Oreochromis niloticus: one gene and its partner. The protein of the gene in region 2 binds, or shares a complex with, the protein of the main gene of each other region. Links are inferred from orthologs where the notes say so. Each region holds a gene or a part of one and is shown on either strand. Other genes may lie near its edges.

The links.
Region 1: kat14 (region 2) and mbip share a complex: the UniProt entries of both Homo sapiens proteins name them as parts of the ADA2A-containing complex. The link is inferred for Oreochromis niloticus from reciprocal best matches to the Homo sapiens genes KAT14 and MBIP.

Annotation. Positions count from the first base shown.
Region 1 is NC_031983.2:18,731,644-18,739,485, forward strand, and holds the start of mbip (MAP3K12-binding inhibitory protein 1), read right to left. Parts: upstream 3,044-7,842; 5' UTR 2,991-3,043; coding exon 2,871-2,990; intron 2,027-2,870; coding exon 1,910-2,026; intron 1,727-1,909; coding exon 1,520-1,726; intron 979-1,519; coding exon 882-978; intron 535-881; coding exon 469-534; intron 336-468; coding exon 177-335; intron 1-176. UniProt on the Homo sapiens protein: Inhibits the MAP3K12 activity to induce the activation of the JNK/SAPK pathway. Component of the ATAC complex, a complex with histone acetyltransferase activity on histones H3 and H4.
Region 2 is NC_031971.2:41,838,876-41,846,139, reverse strand, and holds the start of kat14 (cysteine-rich protein 2-binding protein), read right to left. Parts: upstream 3,174-7,264; 5' UTR 3,140-3,173; coding exon 2,881-3,139; intron 2,013-2,880; coding exon 1,891-2,012; intron 1,810-1,890; coding exon 1,688-1,809; intron 1,605-1,687; coding exon 1,432-1,604; intron 1,355-1,431; coding exon 920-1,354; intron 836-919; coding exon 246-835; intron 140-245; coding exon 6-139; intron 1-5. Other genes in the region: protein PET117 homolog, mitochondrial, read right to left, coding at 3,275-3,424, 4,327-4,422. UniProt on the Homo sapiens protein: Component of the ATAC complex, a complex with histone acetyltransferase activity on histones H3 and H4. May function as a scaffold for the ATAC complex to promote ATAC complex stability. Has also weak histone acetyltransferase activity toward histone H4.

The sequences.
Region 1 (7,842 bases), on a different chromosome or scaffold from region 2:
GACTGATAACAGCAGATAAACCAAATAATAGATCACTGTATAAATAAAGGCTTACTATAAGTAAAAAATTCAGTGCCAATAAAAGGTATCATTTAATTTCTCAGTTAAATATAATGTATAATGTTATATACAAGACAAAAATAATTTGAGCCTTACAATAACTTCCTGTCTCTCACCTGCTGGAAGTTTGAGGTGAGCCTCGATGTTGTTGAGTCGTTCCTCTATGGCTACATTTCCACAATCTCTCATCAGCGGCCCCCTCTGTTTATCCCCAGCCTCTGCTTGGTCTCCCCCACTACGGGTCTGGGGTCCGTAAGTGTTTACTACTCGTGTGACTGCCCAGCCAAGAAACAAACACAGAAGATACAACTCAGTCCTAAACAGATTCTAGTTAACAACATGTTTTAGTTTAATTACACAAATGATAGTTTAAAAATTAAGCTGTTAAGAATTGTGACATTTTCTTACCTTTTACGTGGCTTTTAAAACCCGGGTAAGGAGTGAATACTGCATCTGTTCTGGCACAGCTGTTTTCTACAGACGATCACATTTAATATAAATTGCAATTAGAATTACCAAATGCAATTAAACATGATTACCAAAAGCTGTATATGTATATCACACCTGAATAACAACTACTCCTGATTTCTGTTACTGGTGTCTCACACAGGCTTTGAATTTAAAAAAGGTTCTTCTGTCTCGTGTTTTTCTGGACTAAGCGGGTTGTGTTTTGAGGCCGAGTGTGTTAGCTACTTCAGCCCCACTCTTGGAGCAGTTCAGCCTGACCTCTCGCCTGTGGAAATCAGCTCTCTCCCAAACATTGGCAATCTGTGTGCAGGCACCCTCTCCACCCTGCCCCCCCACCTCTCTCCCATTCTCACCCTGATTGCAGTCGATCACGTTGCAAAACTCGCGTACATTGTTTTCATTGATCTCCATCTGCTTGCGTTCCATAAATGCAGATATTCTTCGCTCAATCTAGGGTTACAATGAAGACAACATAATAAGATACAATGGATTGATGAGGTGGCAAGAATGCTATGTTTTTGACTATTTAATGATAATGATGTGGGACAAATAGGGTGCGGCAATTTACATTTCAGAAAATTCCAGGTAGCCAAAAAAGTTGAACTGCTTGCCATCATCACATGATGGAATATGAATACTGTTTGCTTGGCTACCAAAATAAATGCACAACAGAATGGGGCCTCTTGTCCTTCATCCACATGCAATCTCAGAGTAATGAGCATCCACTTCATAATCCATCAAGGACCTGGCCCTCTCTCAAAACCCTCCAGCAATGTGGTCTGTTCTACCCCACCGCAGCACTAAAGGACCCCTTATTCTCAACCGAACTCAGCTTATCAGGTCTCCATCAAGCATTTGCTTTGCTGCGGCACGTCATGTGCACATCCTCTGGAGCAATTACTTATGATTATTCATTTGCTTGACAGAGTGTAAAGAGGGCTCTAAAATTTCACTGCCAGAACAGCTGACAGATCTGCTGACAGCGACCAACCTCTGACTTCCCAGCTCGGATCTGAACCATGACGTCATCAGCCGCCGCCTTGCTCTCTGTAGCCCCGGAGCTGTGCGGATGGTGCTCAGACTGCGTGGCTGTCTGTGCGCTGCTTGAAGATGAGGTGACAGCATCTTCTGATGTGTTCTTGAAAGAGGATGCATCAGCCTCAGCATCCAACAACACCTTTAGGCTTTCTGAAACAGCCTAAATAAAGAGCACGTCAGAAAGAAGAATTAGATGTAATTATTTAAAGCTCCCAAGAATAATCGAAAATTCAAAATTTTAAATTGTTAATTCTAATCTACTTTTTTTCCCTTGCAATGATAACACAATAAAAAGCTGCATAATAATCTATGTCAGCTCTTAAAATTCCTCTAATGTTTTTACCTGTAATTTAGCGATATGTCCTTGTAATGAGCTGTAAACATGAGCAGGTGGAGATGATTGAAGATTCACAGCGCTGGGGTTGACATCTATTTTCAAAGCAGCATCCCCAAATTTCAGCTTAATTTCAGGACAGACAAAGTGTGGATGTTACTGTGAATCAGCATTTAACATACAATTGCATGCTAGCAGGACAATATATACATTTGTCTAATATATGCAAGTTACAATTGATTGATGTGAAAATACATAAATTATTTTTGATAATTAACTGGGCAACTGATTTGTTACTGTTCAAGAAAAAGCATTTGGTGGTATCAGCTTCAATTTAATGTAGAATAAAGGATTATTTTCCCCTTGTTTTCAGCTGTTTTTTGTCACTGTAAAATATATATATTGGCTTTGCAGTGGTGGTCAATAAATACATAATTAAAAATAAGGTTACCCCAGACTTAGGAAAATAATGAAGTTAGATTCATAAAGCGAGTGAAAGGCGATGCTTTTATTTTATCCACTGCATATTTTATTTGTGCTTTACCACACAAAAACAGGGCTTGAGATCATTTACTGCATGTATGGGATAAAGAGGTTTATTTAGATGTGTATTCAATCCAATACGAGATGCAAAAAAAAAGCACGGCAACAGGGATAATGACATGAAACTTTGCTGTTACTGATGAAACAGAATGCCTAGTTAAGCCCAGTCAAGACACAAGCTCGATCTTATATCTTAAATTACTTTCAAAACAACACTGAACCATTTAAAGCACAGTTACTTTGCAACAACCTGCTTGTCAAAAACAGCACCAGAGCGCTGTGTGAGTGACAATGAATGAACAGTGTGGGTCCGCTAAGCAGCCCTGCTAACACCACATTGCTAAAAACATTAGCATGCAGCCAGCCAACACCCCGGACTGAAAGGAGCGATGTCCGAAACAAGGCAGCTTAAACAATCCAAACAAACCTCTTCCCCGAAGTCTGCTAGCAGTTGCAGTAACGAATCCATACAGTCTGTATAGCTGGACATTTTACTGGAGTCACTGGGAGGAGCATGATTTCTACTTAGCTTCATTGCCTCCGCCATTGCTGTTCGACAAGCCGAAGAATACTGTGCGCTGATTGGTTCGAGTGCAGGTTCCTGCGTGTGCGCGCTTAACGAAGTCGAGGCTCCATACACGCATGCGTACACGCACACAACCGTAGTTGTGAGAATATTAATATTACTGCGAAAATTACTAGTAATGATAAATGCTTAAATTAAATTCACTAATTTTACTGGGTTGTATTGTGCAAGTATTTCTGAAAGCTTTAAGGCATTTCTCTTTTTCAGTCTTTTAACAGATTGAAAGGAAAATTGTTTACATAATTTTTAAAGTCAAGGATCAACTTTTTAAAAACTGCAATTACAAATACATTCTAAAAATATAACAGGACGTCAGGGGAACAGAAAGCTCATATATATATATATATATATATATATATATATATATATATATATATATATATATAGATATATAGATATATATATATATAGATATATATATATATATATATAGATATATATAAGTATATATAAGTTTTCTGTAGATATAGATATTAGATACTTGATACTTGATATGATCAGACTCCATGTTAGCAAATCGAAAAAGAACCCAAATAGAGAAGCACAAAAAACAAATAAAGTTATAAAATGTGAAATTTAAAAATCTTTCAACTGTTCTTCGACACAGGGTGGTTAAGAGCATCTATATATAGAAAAACTGATTATATAAAACTTTGAAAAACCTGTTTTACAGCTTTATTTCCAAACATATCATGCACATTTCATCTTTTACCCAACTATTTCTACTTCTCTTCAATCTGTTCCCATAAAATCCAAACCAAATATGCTTATTAATGACTATCATCAACTATAATAGCCCTCTTCATGCATTAGTGACCCTGTGGTTTTATACAGTAATCTATTAGCAGTCAAGCAACATTTTATTATTGCCTCTAGTCAAGTTATTAAGCTAATGTTTTAACGTCATACACTGGTAGACAGTTCTACGAACAATGAAATATTATTTTAATATTAACAAAATAATTTTATGACTTGTATTCTCTACCTGAAAACAAGCCTGTAAGTAGTGCCACGTCTGGAACATATTATTAAATGCCCAAAGATGTCCAGTCTCTGAACTTTCTCTTTTAATGCCTTTTAAAGCATGTTTAAAGTCATTTTATTCTCTGTCGTCTTATGGCATGTTTATCTGTTTAGCAGCATAACTGCTGAATATTGTTCTAATTTAATTTTTACTTTATGTTTAGAATGTCAATGCTTGTATATTTATATGATCCACAATTTTATTACTTTTAGTTTAAAACATTGTACTATATAAAATTTTATATATATATATATATATGTATGTATGTATTAGGCATGGCTCCCTGGAAACTGAACTCACTCAAATGTGCCGTTAACTGTATTCTCAGTCACTTACTTTTCAAACAGGCGAAAGAATGGTCACTCAATTATAAAGATATTGTCCCTCTGACCGCAGTGGACTGTGCAGCAGGGCATTGGGATGGGAACCTGGTTACAATGGCGTATTTTTCTGTGTTGAGTGACTGTGGGAAAATCTCCCTCCTCTATTCAGACATTTTTCCCTTCTTTTCATATAATGAGGAGAGAGACTGATGAAGGAAACAACAGAAAAAGAACAATTACAGGCAAAGAGAAGGCACAACCACTCAGAACTCAATAATGCTCTTTAGGAGGGTTAATCATTTTAGGAAGGGGTCTGAAGACAAGCCTTTTTACTTTAATTCATCTCTGGGGTGATATTTTTCCCCCCAAAACAGGAAGGAACTGTAACACTTGACATGGTTTGACATGCTGAGCTATTGCTGAATGTTCCCACACAGCAAGGCGCTCAGAAATTAAAAAACTGCTCATTTAATTTGGCTGGCTTCAGACCAAAGAGCTGTTTATTCTTCTAACGGGGGAAGAGTTGTGATTTAAGGCATTTATATGAGCCATTAAAAAAACATGATAACCTACTTGAGCGCAATGTTTTTACATTTAGCTATATTTACATTTCGAAACCAAAACTAAGTATTACAGATATTCACAATCTTTAAATGTCACCTTTTCCTCTAATATGTTCCTACATCTTAAAAACAGTTTTAGAGGATTAAAAAACCAGTGGCTGAAGAAATATTTACAAGTGCTACAGCCTAAAAATATTCCTTTACAAGTAAAAGTTCATGCACAACGGCCTTAGTCATTGTTGGCAGGGTCATTATTACTGATGCATCAACATAAGTGGTACTTTATTTATCTAATTGGCTGAAAGTAAGGTACGGCAAACTGATTTAAATGCGCTAACTTGTTTCCAGAGAATGATTTGACCTCTGGTTTTTCTTGCTGTTATTAAATCATATTAATTGTAGATTCCTAACATAAAATGACAATTTATAACCATTTATTAAGTATTTATGCACTGCTTGTAAATGCTGAAGCCATTATAGAGAATTGCTGAAAAGTGTTACAAGGATACCTTAATGGTTCTTTGTGCAACTTAATAAGATTTTTTTTTCTTTGCTTTACAAGAATGTGTTCTTGGCAGGCAGAGGGAATTTGTGCTATACAGGAAATAAGGTGGTCCTAGTGTTAGAGGGAAGTGAGTGAAGAGGGATTGTTGCTGCCTCTTGCCTCAGTCACATCAGCCACCTGCAGGAAAGTAAAAAGGTCCGCTTTTGAGCCTGTCTGCTGCACGGTGGCAGATTATGTTGACAGAGCATGAGACGGAGTAAAGGCCAGACATGAGGATCAGGAGAAAGAGGCAGCACAATGTAAAGAGCGAAGTGGATTGCAGTAAGAAGGTTTTGTCTCATTTCCCCCAGAGAGGAATAATTAAAAGTATTCCTTTCTTGTGAGTTTGGGACCAAGCTTCCCACAGATCAGCTCATTACGTACTGCTTTTAAGTAATAAAAAGATATATGTGGAAACAAATGTAAATTTTGCAGAAAAATGTTCATTAAAAAGACTGTAGTCATGGTGCTGGATTTGAGAGTTATTTCAGTTGTTTTTTACAGATTTTTTCTGAACTGCTTTGGCACATTTCTTACAACACTTTTGGAATGATGCATGCAAAAATAAGCAGTATTTACATGTGCATGAACTGTAAGGGTAAAATGTTTATGTACTGTTGTCTTCTATATCCACTCATATAGTGGAAATCACTGGGCTGTCACTTTTGTCCACTTGGCCACAGATTCCCACTGAACTCCTAATCCTCCCTATGAAGTGTAACAGTGGAAGAACTGCTTTGTTTGGCAGACCCATCAACTGCAGTTCTCTTTCTATTTGCTGTTGTTTCTCCTTGTTACACTGCCACACATCCTCGCTTGTCTCCCTATACTAAGGCTGTTGTCCCAGAAAAAGGTTTATTTGGGCTCCTACTAGTTCATAAACTGTTGTAAATCTATATCTATATACAAGCATTTATACATATATAATTAGATGGACTTTTATATGTGATGGCTTATACAAAGAAATAAAGCTATTATATTTTGGAGAATAAAACTATTCAGTTGATAGAAACACTTTTTTTTTAACACAAATACATTTTTTTATTTTTTACACTAGACAACTAGTCATTAGACTGTGCTTTTAGGTGCTTAGGAGTCCTCCCACCATCCAAAGCTGTACTTGTTAATTGGTGTGGATGTAAGAGCGTGTGGTTGTCTGTCTCTCTGCTGAACCCTGTGATGGAGTGGTGACCTGCCGAGGATGTTCCCTGCCTCTATTCCCACTCACCCCAGGACCTTGAGTTGTGTGATACCAACACGTTCGGGCTGGTGATACAGTATCAATTATTGACAATAGTACCATGTTTATCGGGTTTAAGTTTATGATTAGCAACATAGTTTAGGATGTAAGTCAATTACCATTACTTAACTGGCAACAAAAATAGTAAATTAGTAAATTCAAAGTTTTTATTTGTATAGCACCTTTCAAGATAAATATCACAAAATGCTTCACAATGAAAATAATAAAACATAAAAACATGTAGTCAGCAGATCTCGAGCTCAAAGGGAGCTTGAAAGCACTGTCATGAAAACTCTGTCTCCTTATTTTTTATTTTTTTGTCTCGTGTGCTGCACAGCTCCTGATCACATGACCCCAGGGATCTGCAGGGGATGTATGCATGTAAAGGCTCACTGATGTGCACTGGTGCTCAATAATGCAGGGCTCTAAAAGTCAAAAACAAAATCTTAAAGCGGACTCTCAAGTTAATTAGGAGCTAGTGGAACTAAATTAGCAACAGTGAGAGGTGGGAAGCGAGTGACTTGGAAGACTTAGTCAAAAGTGTCGTGGCAGCGATCTGAACCACCTGCAGATGTTCTAAGGAGGTTTTGTTAAGACACGTGAACAATGAATTACAACAATCCAGATGTGATCAAATAAAGACATGAGTAAATGAGAATATGACTCAGCTTGGCAATATTTCTTAAGTGATAAAAGCAAGTGTGAATCAGATATTTAACATGAGCAAAGTTACAGTTGAATCAAAGTGTTCTATAGACAATTTGGCAAATGTAGCAAGTGTAACTACAATTTCCATTGGAAATGTGTTCAGGGCACAAAAAAGGACTTTTATTTTCTCCTGGAAATTTTTCAGCCATCCAGCGGATAATAAAATCTAAGCAACTAGGCAACTATTTAACTTAGAAACAGCTTGAAGCTTAAAACAGATATATAACAAGATGTCATCTGCGTAGAGTGATAAGAAATCTTAAAATATGCTGAAAAGACACTAAATATGAGTAAAAAAGAAAAGGACCCAAAACAGTACCTTGCAGCACACACTAGGCAAGGGAACTGGAAAAACATCTTTACTTGGAAGCAGCCACAGGAATTATTCAGAATCTTTTTCCTGCTTACACT
Region 2 (7,264 bases):
TTTACCTGATGTACGGTTTGAGGAGGCGGGAGGTGTAGGGGCTCCTGATGGTCTGCTCCAGGCTTCCTTCAGCTCCCATCAGACGATGCCAGAAAGACACGGACGGCTGCTGGACGCCTCGTCTGCCGGAGACGCCGGTCTGTAAAACATGGACAGGTGAAGCGAACAGTGTGAACACTGCATCAGCTGCAGCGATTGGTGCACGTGGGCGTGTCACATGGACGGACAGGAAGTGTGTGCGTTACCTGGAAGCGATCGAGAATCCGCAGCTCCTGGCTGCTGGTACAGTATTTCCCTTTCACACCGCCGCCGATCTGTGATCCGGCCTCCTGGGCGCCATAGATTCCTCCCACCAGGCTGAGGGTGGCGCTGACCACTTGGTCGATGTCCAGCAGGGGGAGCCTCCTCTGTCGTTTTGCCTGGCGAACCAGCAACTTCCTGTGGAGGCGTTTAGCCTGCGGCGTGACGGCCAACGCGAGCGGGCAAGCGTCCAGCCGTCGCAGCAGCATCCTCTCCTCGTACAGACTGAGGGTGGCATAGCGAGGACTCTGGGCGTTGCCGGCAGCGCTGTCAGTGTTCTCTGGATGAGTCGTCCTTCTGCGCTCAGGTCCTCCGCCACCGCCGCCTGTGGACACCGGGGCGTCTTCACTTTGTCCTACGGGTTCTTCAAAGTCGCCCTCCCGCTCGCGGCCTTCGTCTTCCTCGCTCTCTGCTTCACGCTTGATGTGAGGCGGTGGCGGGCGGAGTTTCTTGCGGGTGCCCAGGTTGGCACTGGCAGGCGGGATGTACTCGGTTCCCGGGTCGATCATCCCCTCTGTTTCCATCTCCTCATCATCTGAGTTGGAGGAAGCAGAACGCGCCATCAGCGGTTACATCACATAAAACCACATGACCCTGCACCAATCAGGTGGTACCTCACCGTGGAACAATGCCTGTGGCGGCATGGCGTCAGGGATAAGGTCTGCCTCCGACAGCAGGCTGGGCGTCGCCGAATGCGAGGCTGGCGTTCCCGGGGCAGAAAAGTCAGGTGAAGGCGATGGCGTCGGGCTGGTGAGCGGCGTTCTGTCTGAGGAGCTGAGCGAAGAGAAGTCAATGACCTCACCCTTCTCCAGGACCAGATCTGGGCGCTGCCCACCACCCACACCACGGCCTCCACCCAGCTTGACGGGCGTGGAGGCGGCGCTACGGTCCGTGTATCCGCCCGCCGCTTCCTTCTGGGCCCGCCGGATATCTTTGGCCTCCTGAGTGCGTGAGCGTTTCTCCTTCAGCTGCATGGCGTTCTCCACGGGGTTCCGCGCCCCGCGTTTGCGCAGACCCTCCACGGTGATGATCGGGTCCAGCACGGGTTTGGACGCTGTGGGTAAACAGCGTCCAAGGTCAGAGGTCAACAAACACCGTCCACTTGGGCGCCAGCGTTCGATCACGGCTTACCTTTAGTCTTTGTCACGGATTTGTCCACTTCTGGTCGGAGGGTTGGAGGTCGGTTGTGGACCAGCTTCCACCAGCCGGGCTCACCGAACTCCTGCGCTCCAGAGCGGAAGAAGGCGGGGCTTCCGACCGACAGGCAGCCCGCTACCGTGCTCCACCAGGTTGATGTCTTCTTCCTGCAAAGAAGAGTGCAACACGAATGTGAGCGCCGGCACGTTATCGATAAAGACCAAAACTTTATTGTCTGTCTGCGATCGACCTCGAGCCCAGCAGGAAGTTCCAGTGTCGACCAATGAAAGCGCAGATGTCCTCTTTCCACCTGAAGTAGCCCTGCCGGCCCGTCCCCTCCAGAGACAGGTTGTACATGGCCAACATCACCACCTGCCACAGGAAGAAGCTGCCGTCAGCACGCCGAGTATTTGAGGTGTGTGTCTGTGTGTGTGGGCGGGGCTAAAGTCCTACCTGCTGCCAGGTGAGCCTCATCCTCTCGAAGCTCTCCTTGCCATCTTCGGAGCAATCGGAGCAGACGAATTTGAAGAAGTTGTCTCCCTTCAGGTAGCTCGGCTGCTCGCCGCGGAGCTGAGCTGCAGACGATCACAGGTACAGAGTCAGCTGCTGCTGCAGACCTGCTGGGGGTCTCCTAGGTTACCACCAGTGCCTGCTCTCAACTCATGAAGCTGCAGACGAGGAGCTGGACTAACAGCTTCCTGTCTGGCTCCACCCACACCACATCAGACCTCACCTTAACTCTCATACCTGCTTACATCACGGTCAGAGGTCACATTAAGGCTCATATCATGTGATCATCCATCGCATCATGTGACACTTAACTGAGAGCATGCTCACGCCGTGTTCTGGAGCCGGGCTAAAGGGCGTTCACGCACACTCAAGGAGGAGCTCGTACCTGAAGGTGGGGCCATGTGGAGGAAGCTGCCGCGCACAGAGGTGCAGATCTCGCTTTAGAGTTCAGCGGGTACGACTGTTGATTCACGTGACAGCTTTAATGAGTGCAACGTGAGACGGACCGGTCGGCACGCGGTGGGAGCGTCTGGATCACTTTTGTTCCCGCCATTTCGCTCTCAGCGTATTGTCCTACCGCGTAGCTACAACTGTGGTGTCGCCGGGAACCCACAGACTTGATTGCGTTGGGTTGTTATAGCAACGTGGCCGAGCATCCTGTGACGTCACTTGTGTGTGACATGAACGAGAACAAAGGAGGCGATGGCATTCCTCCTGCTCGGTCCGTGGCATTTTGTCAGACTCGTGGGCCGCAGGTTTCAATTTTCCCGAAAGACTCGCTCTCATGACTCACAGACTGGTGCACCTGACCAGCCAATCGGTGGCATGCGGTCTGCTGATGTCACATTTTCAGATTGCTCGGCAGCAGGTAGTGCCACCTACTGGAGAAGGTCGGTCACGTCAGAAACGGAGCGCTGCAATTGGCCAGCTCACCTGCGGGGATCCACTTGTGGCAGCGGTCGCAGTAGAAGGACATGTCCTCGCAGGCCCAGCCCCCGTCGGCGTCCTCACCCACGTCACTGGTCAGGGAGTCGCCACTCTGGTCATGTGACAGGTCCACGGAGCCCTGGTCCTCCGACTCAACAATCAGCAGCGTCTCGCCCTCCACCTCCCCCTCTTCCAGACCGTCCGACGCTGACGTGCAGGCCGCCTCGTCCTCCCCACCCACCAGCTGCTCGCCACTGCTGTCCATCCTCCTGCTTCAGGTACGGCACACCTGGGCAGGTGACCACTGCAGTCTACACAAGAGAAGAAACATTACAGTTGACCTGGTCGTAAGGAGACTTGGGGATGCAATAGGGTAGGTGCATGAGAGCATTTACCTTTTTCAGGTGTCCTGTGGGTGAAGCCTGGCCTCCCGGTTTCGTCTCTCCTCCGCCAGCTGTCGGGTCAGCAGCCGCTGCTCCTCCAGCAGCCGCAGGTTCTCCTTCCTGCGCTCGAGCCGTTCCAGATCCCTGACCACGCCCTCACGCAGGCGCTGCACGACAAACACAGTGACCACTCATCATTGATCAAGCTCTGAGGACATGTGAGCTCATCTCCACTGGTTCACTTACAGATCCTGCTTCTCACTCATTAATCCCTCAGTGCTCCGCCCCTCAGCACCTGTACACAGTCAGGTCTGCTTTCGGTCCCTTGTAACAGAATCCACACCTATGAGGGCTCGATGCTTTGGTGTGGAGTCTCTCCCATATGAGCTTCACAGCTGGACTGAAAACTCACCTCTGCCACACAAACTTACACCTTTGACCTTTTTGACTTGTGTTGCAAAGCGTTCTTGTGTTTCTTGTAAGGCGCTGGAGAAAGTGATTATTATTGATCACTGATTACTGAAACAGATGTCACAGGTGAGGTGCCCGAAGCTTTGTTCCCATGATGTGAACACCTTAAACCCAGGTGTGTGATTTTCTGTTTCTTTGTTTTATTTAACAGCAGGACTCGTGACCTCACAGAGGTCACCCGAGAGAAAACGCACCTCCAAAATAAAGGCAGACCTGTAAGCGTCACAGAATCCGAAATGAAACATCTGACGCCACTGCAGCTCTGTCAGTCACATGTTCTGCACTCACCTGAGCTAACGTTAACTCAGATAACGCCTGATTAGCTAACTGAGCCATAAATGTAAGGAATGACGATGATTATCATTGTTTACCAGCCATCTGAGTCTTTTATTTTGAAAAGTGTTGGAGGAAGCGGTTTTTGGCTGCTGTTTATCGTCATTATCGTGTTTATTTATTATTATTCTTTTAACGTCTGTGTGACGTCACCTGTGTCCGTTCAATTGCGTTTAACCACCACCTGTGCTTTAGCGTTAGCCTCGTTAGCCCCCGTGACCCGCTCCGGCACACGGAGGCTAGATGTCAGCCCGGCTCGGCTTACCTCTCTGTCCCAGGCCTGTTTGAGGTGCACCGCGGCCACGGTGCTCACGGTCAGAACCACGGACACTCCCAGGACCACCTTAGAGACCGCGGACATCACGCTGTCTCAGCTCCGGCTAACAGTGGCTAGCGGCGGCTAAGGTCTTCTTCTTCTTCTTCTACGCTCATCGGAGCTGCACCGCCCCCACCGGCCGGAGTGTGACACACACGCAGACTCGCGTCAAAGAATCAAAGGCCAAAAAGGCCAAAAATGTTCGTTTGTTTCTTCTTAACCTCCTAGGACCTGCCGTCCACATATGTGGACATCACATTTTTGGTTATTTTGACCAAAATACTCAATTTTGCTCTACATGGGCCTGATATCCACTTACAAGGACATTATACTGCTACTGTTCTATCAAAATTTTAAATGAATATCCTCATTTGTGGCTCTCATTTTTCTTAAAAACAAAAATAAGGTAAAAAAAAAAATCTGGAAATTCTTTGTTTTTACATTCATTGGGCCCCAATATGCCCAAATATCAAAGAGAAATTAAAAATGCATGTCGTGGAAGAGTTCGGGTCTTAGGAGGTTAAGGTGAAAACCAGGACCTCACCTGTCCTCCCTGCATCACACTCGCAGGGTGTGTTAGTGTGTTGTGAAGTATCTCCTGTCTCCTTTCCTCACTTCCTGCTGAGGACTTAGGAAAAGAGAAGAGAAGTGGAACGACCTCACACTCTTTCTCCTTAACGGTGTGAGGCCGGATGTCGTGGGCGTGAACTGCAGCGCTGTGAGGGAACCGTGATCACGGAGCTGAGCCTGCTAAAGCTGCGGTCCTGAACTACATATAAACTGTATAAAAGGGGCGTGGTCACAGCTGGAACATGCAAACATGGAGGGAGCATGCTCTTTGAACAGCTCCTCCTCCTCCGCCGTGCCTGAGTCAAAAGCTGTGAAAGTGGTAACATGACCATGCCGGGCACTTAGAACCTGAGCTGTCACACCTGAGGCCACCTTTAGCTAACATCGCCACGTCCTCCTCCTGCCTTGCATCCAGCTCAGAGTGAGTCCCAGGTACGTGACACTTAGTGAGGTAGTGACCTTTGAGACGGTCCTGAGAATCATTGACTCGACTGTCATTATGTGAGTCTTTGGAGTGGAAATGGCAGTTTATTCCACCTCTGAGGTGGAGCACCAACCATCGGCTGTTGATTAATGTCCACTCACACCTCCACCTGTGAAACAACTGAATTCAGCTCAGATCTTCTCACGCCTGATTGGCCGATCAGTCGGGCCAGTCAGCTCTGAGCATGCTCACCACAGGTATTATAGTTTTTACCCCTCAGCTGTAGAAGACGTCATCGACAGAGAGGTGAGGCAGGATGGAGCGGGTGGAGACGAGTATGACAGGAGAGCAGCAGGAGTGAAACTGAAGGTTTGGAGGTGGAGGCTAGGAGAGGAGGAGATGGAGTAAAATCTAAACTTCACATTTACGTTTAGGTATGTGAGTGAAGTTGGCCCCCCCACCTTCTTCAAATCCAACAAAAGTGGTACCAAACGTTTGTGCTACGTTTGTGCTGCAAACATTTTCGTTTGTGCTGCTATCATTTTAAAGATATTAATAAAAATTTCTACAGGTCATCAAAGTACAACCAGCCCCCCCACATTAATGGAATCCAACAAAAGTGGTATCAAACGTTTGTGCTGGTTTGTGCTGCTAAAATTGTCATTTGTGCTGCTTCTGTTTTAAAGATATTAATGAAAAGGTAAACATGAACAATGTGCTGGGGGGTTAGTTCCATGATTGTTAGTATGCAAATTCTTATGACCATTGATCAATGACAACTAATCAAAGCCTACTGATCAATGGCCATGAGTACCATTCACAGAAAGTGGGGAATGGCTACAATCACAGCATTGTAGGATGGCGAAAGATGTACCCTTGGGCCCCCCTTCTCGATTCAGAGATGGTCAGCATCCTGACAGCCCGATGGACGAAGCTGTCTCTCAGCCTGTGTGTTCTGGCCCGGAGGCTCTTCAGTATCCTTCGTGAGTAAACTGAAGACGCTGCTGAAGGGATGAGTGGAGTCACCTGTAATGGAGAGGACCTTCCAGATGAGGCAGGTGCAGCTGGTCTCACTACCCGTTGTTATTTTTTCCTGCAGAACCCAGTGCAGGAGTCATACCACACAGTGATGCAGCTGGTGAGGATACTCTCAACTGTGCCTCTGTAGAAGGTGCTCATAATGGGGGTTGAATCTCTTGTGCTTCTCAGTTTGCAGAGGAAGTAGAGTCGCTGTTGGTCTTCTCCACATTCAGGGACAGGTTGTTGTTGCTGTACCACTCTGCCAGATGGTTAACTTCACCCCTGTAGTAGATCTCATCGTGGGTCAGCAGAGTGAAGAGAAGGGGGCTCAACACACATCCTTGGGGAGCCCCCGTATTCAGTGTTCTTGGGCTGGAGGTGTTGCTGTCGAGCGTACTATCTGCTGTCTTCCTGTCAAGAAATCTGGCAGCCAGTTATACAGCAAGGTGCTGATCCCCAGCAGATCCGGTTTGTGAATGAGTTGCTGGGGAATGATGATGCTGAAGGCTGAACTGAAGTCTATGAACAGCACTCTGACATACGAGTCTCTAGTGTTCAGATGTGTGAGGGCTGAGTAAGGGGCAGTTGAAATTCCGTCATCGGTTGAGCGTTTTGACCGGTATGCGAACTCAAATGGATCCAGGTTGGGGGAAAGCAATAATTTGATTTGATGCATGACTAACCATTCAAAGCACTTCATAATGATGGAGGTGAGTTTGACAGGACGGTAGTCCTTAAAGCAGGAGGTAGATGACTTCTTGGGCACAGTAATGATGGTGGAGGCTTTGAGGCATGTGGGAACGGCGGCCTGACCCTAGTGATGTGTTAAAGATGTCTGTGAAAACATTTGTGAGTTCCACAGCATAGTCCGTC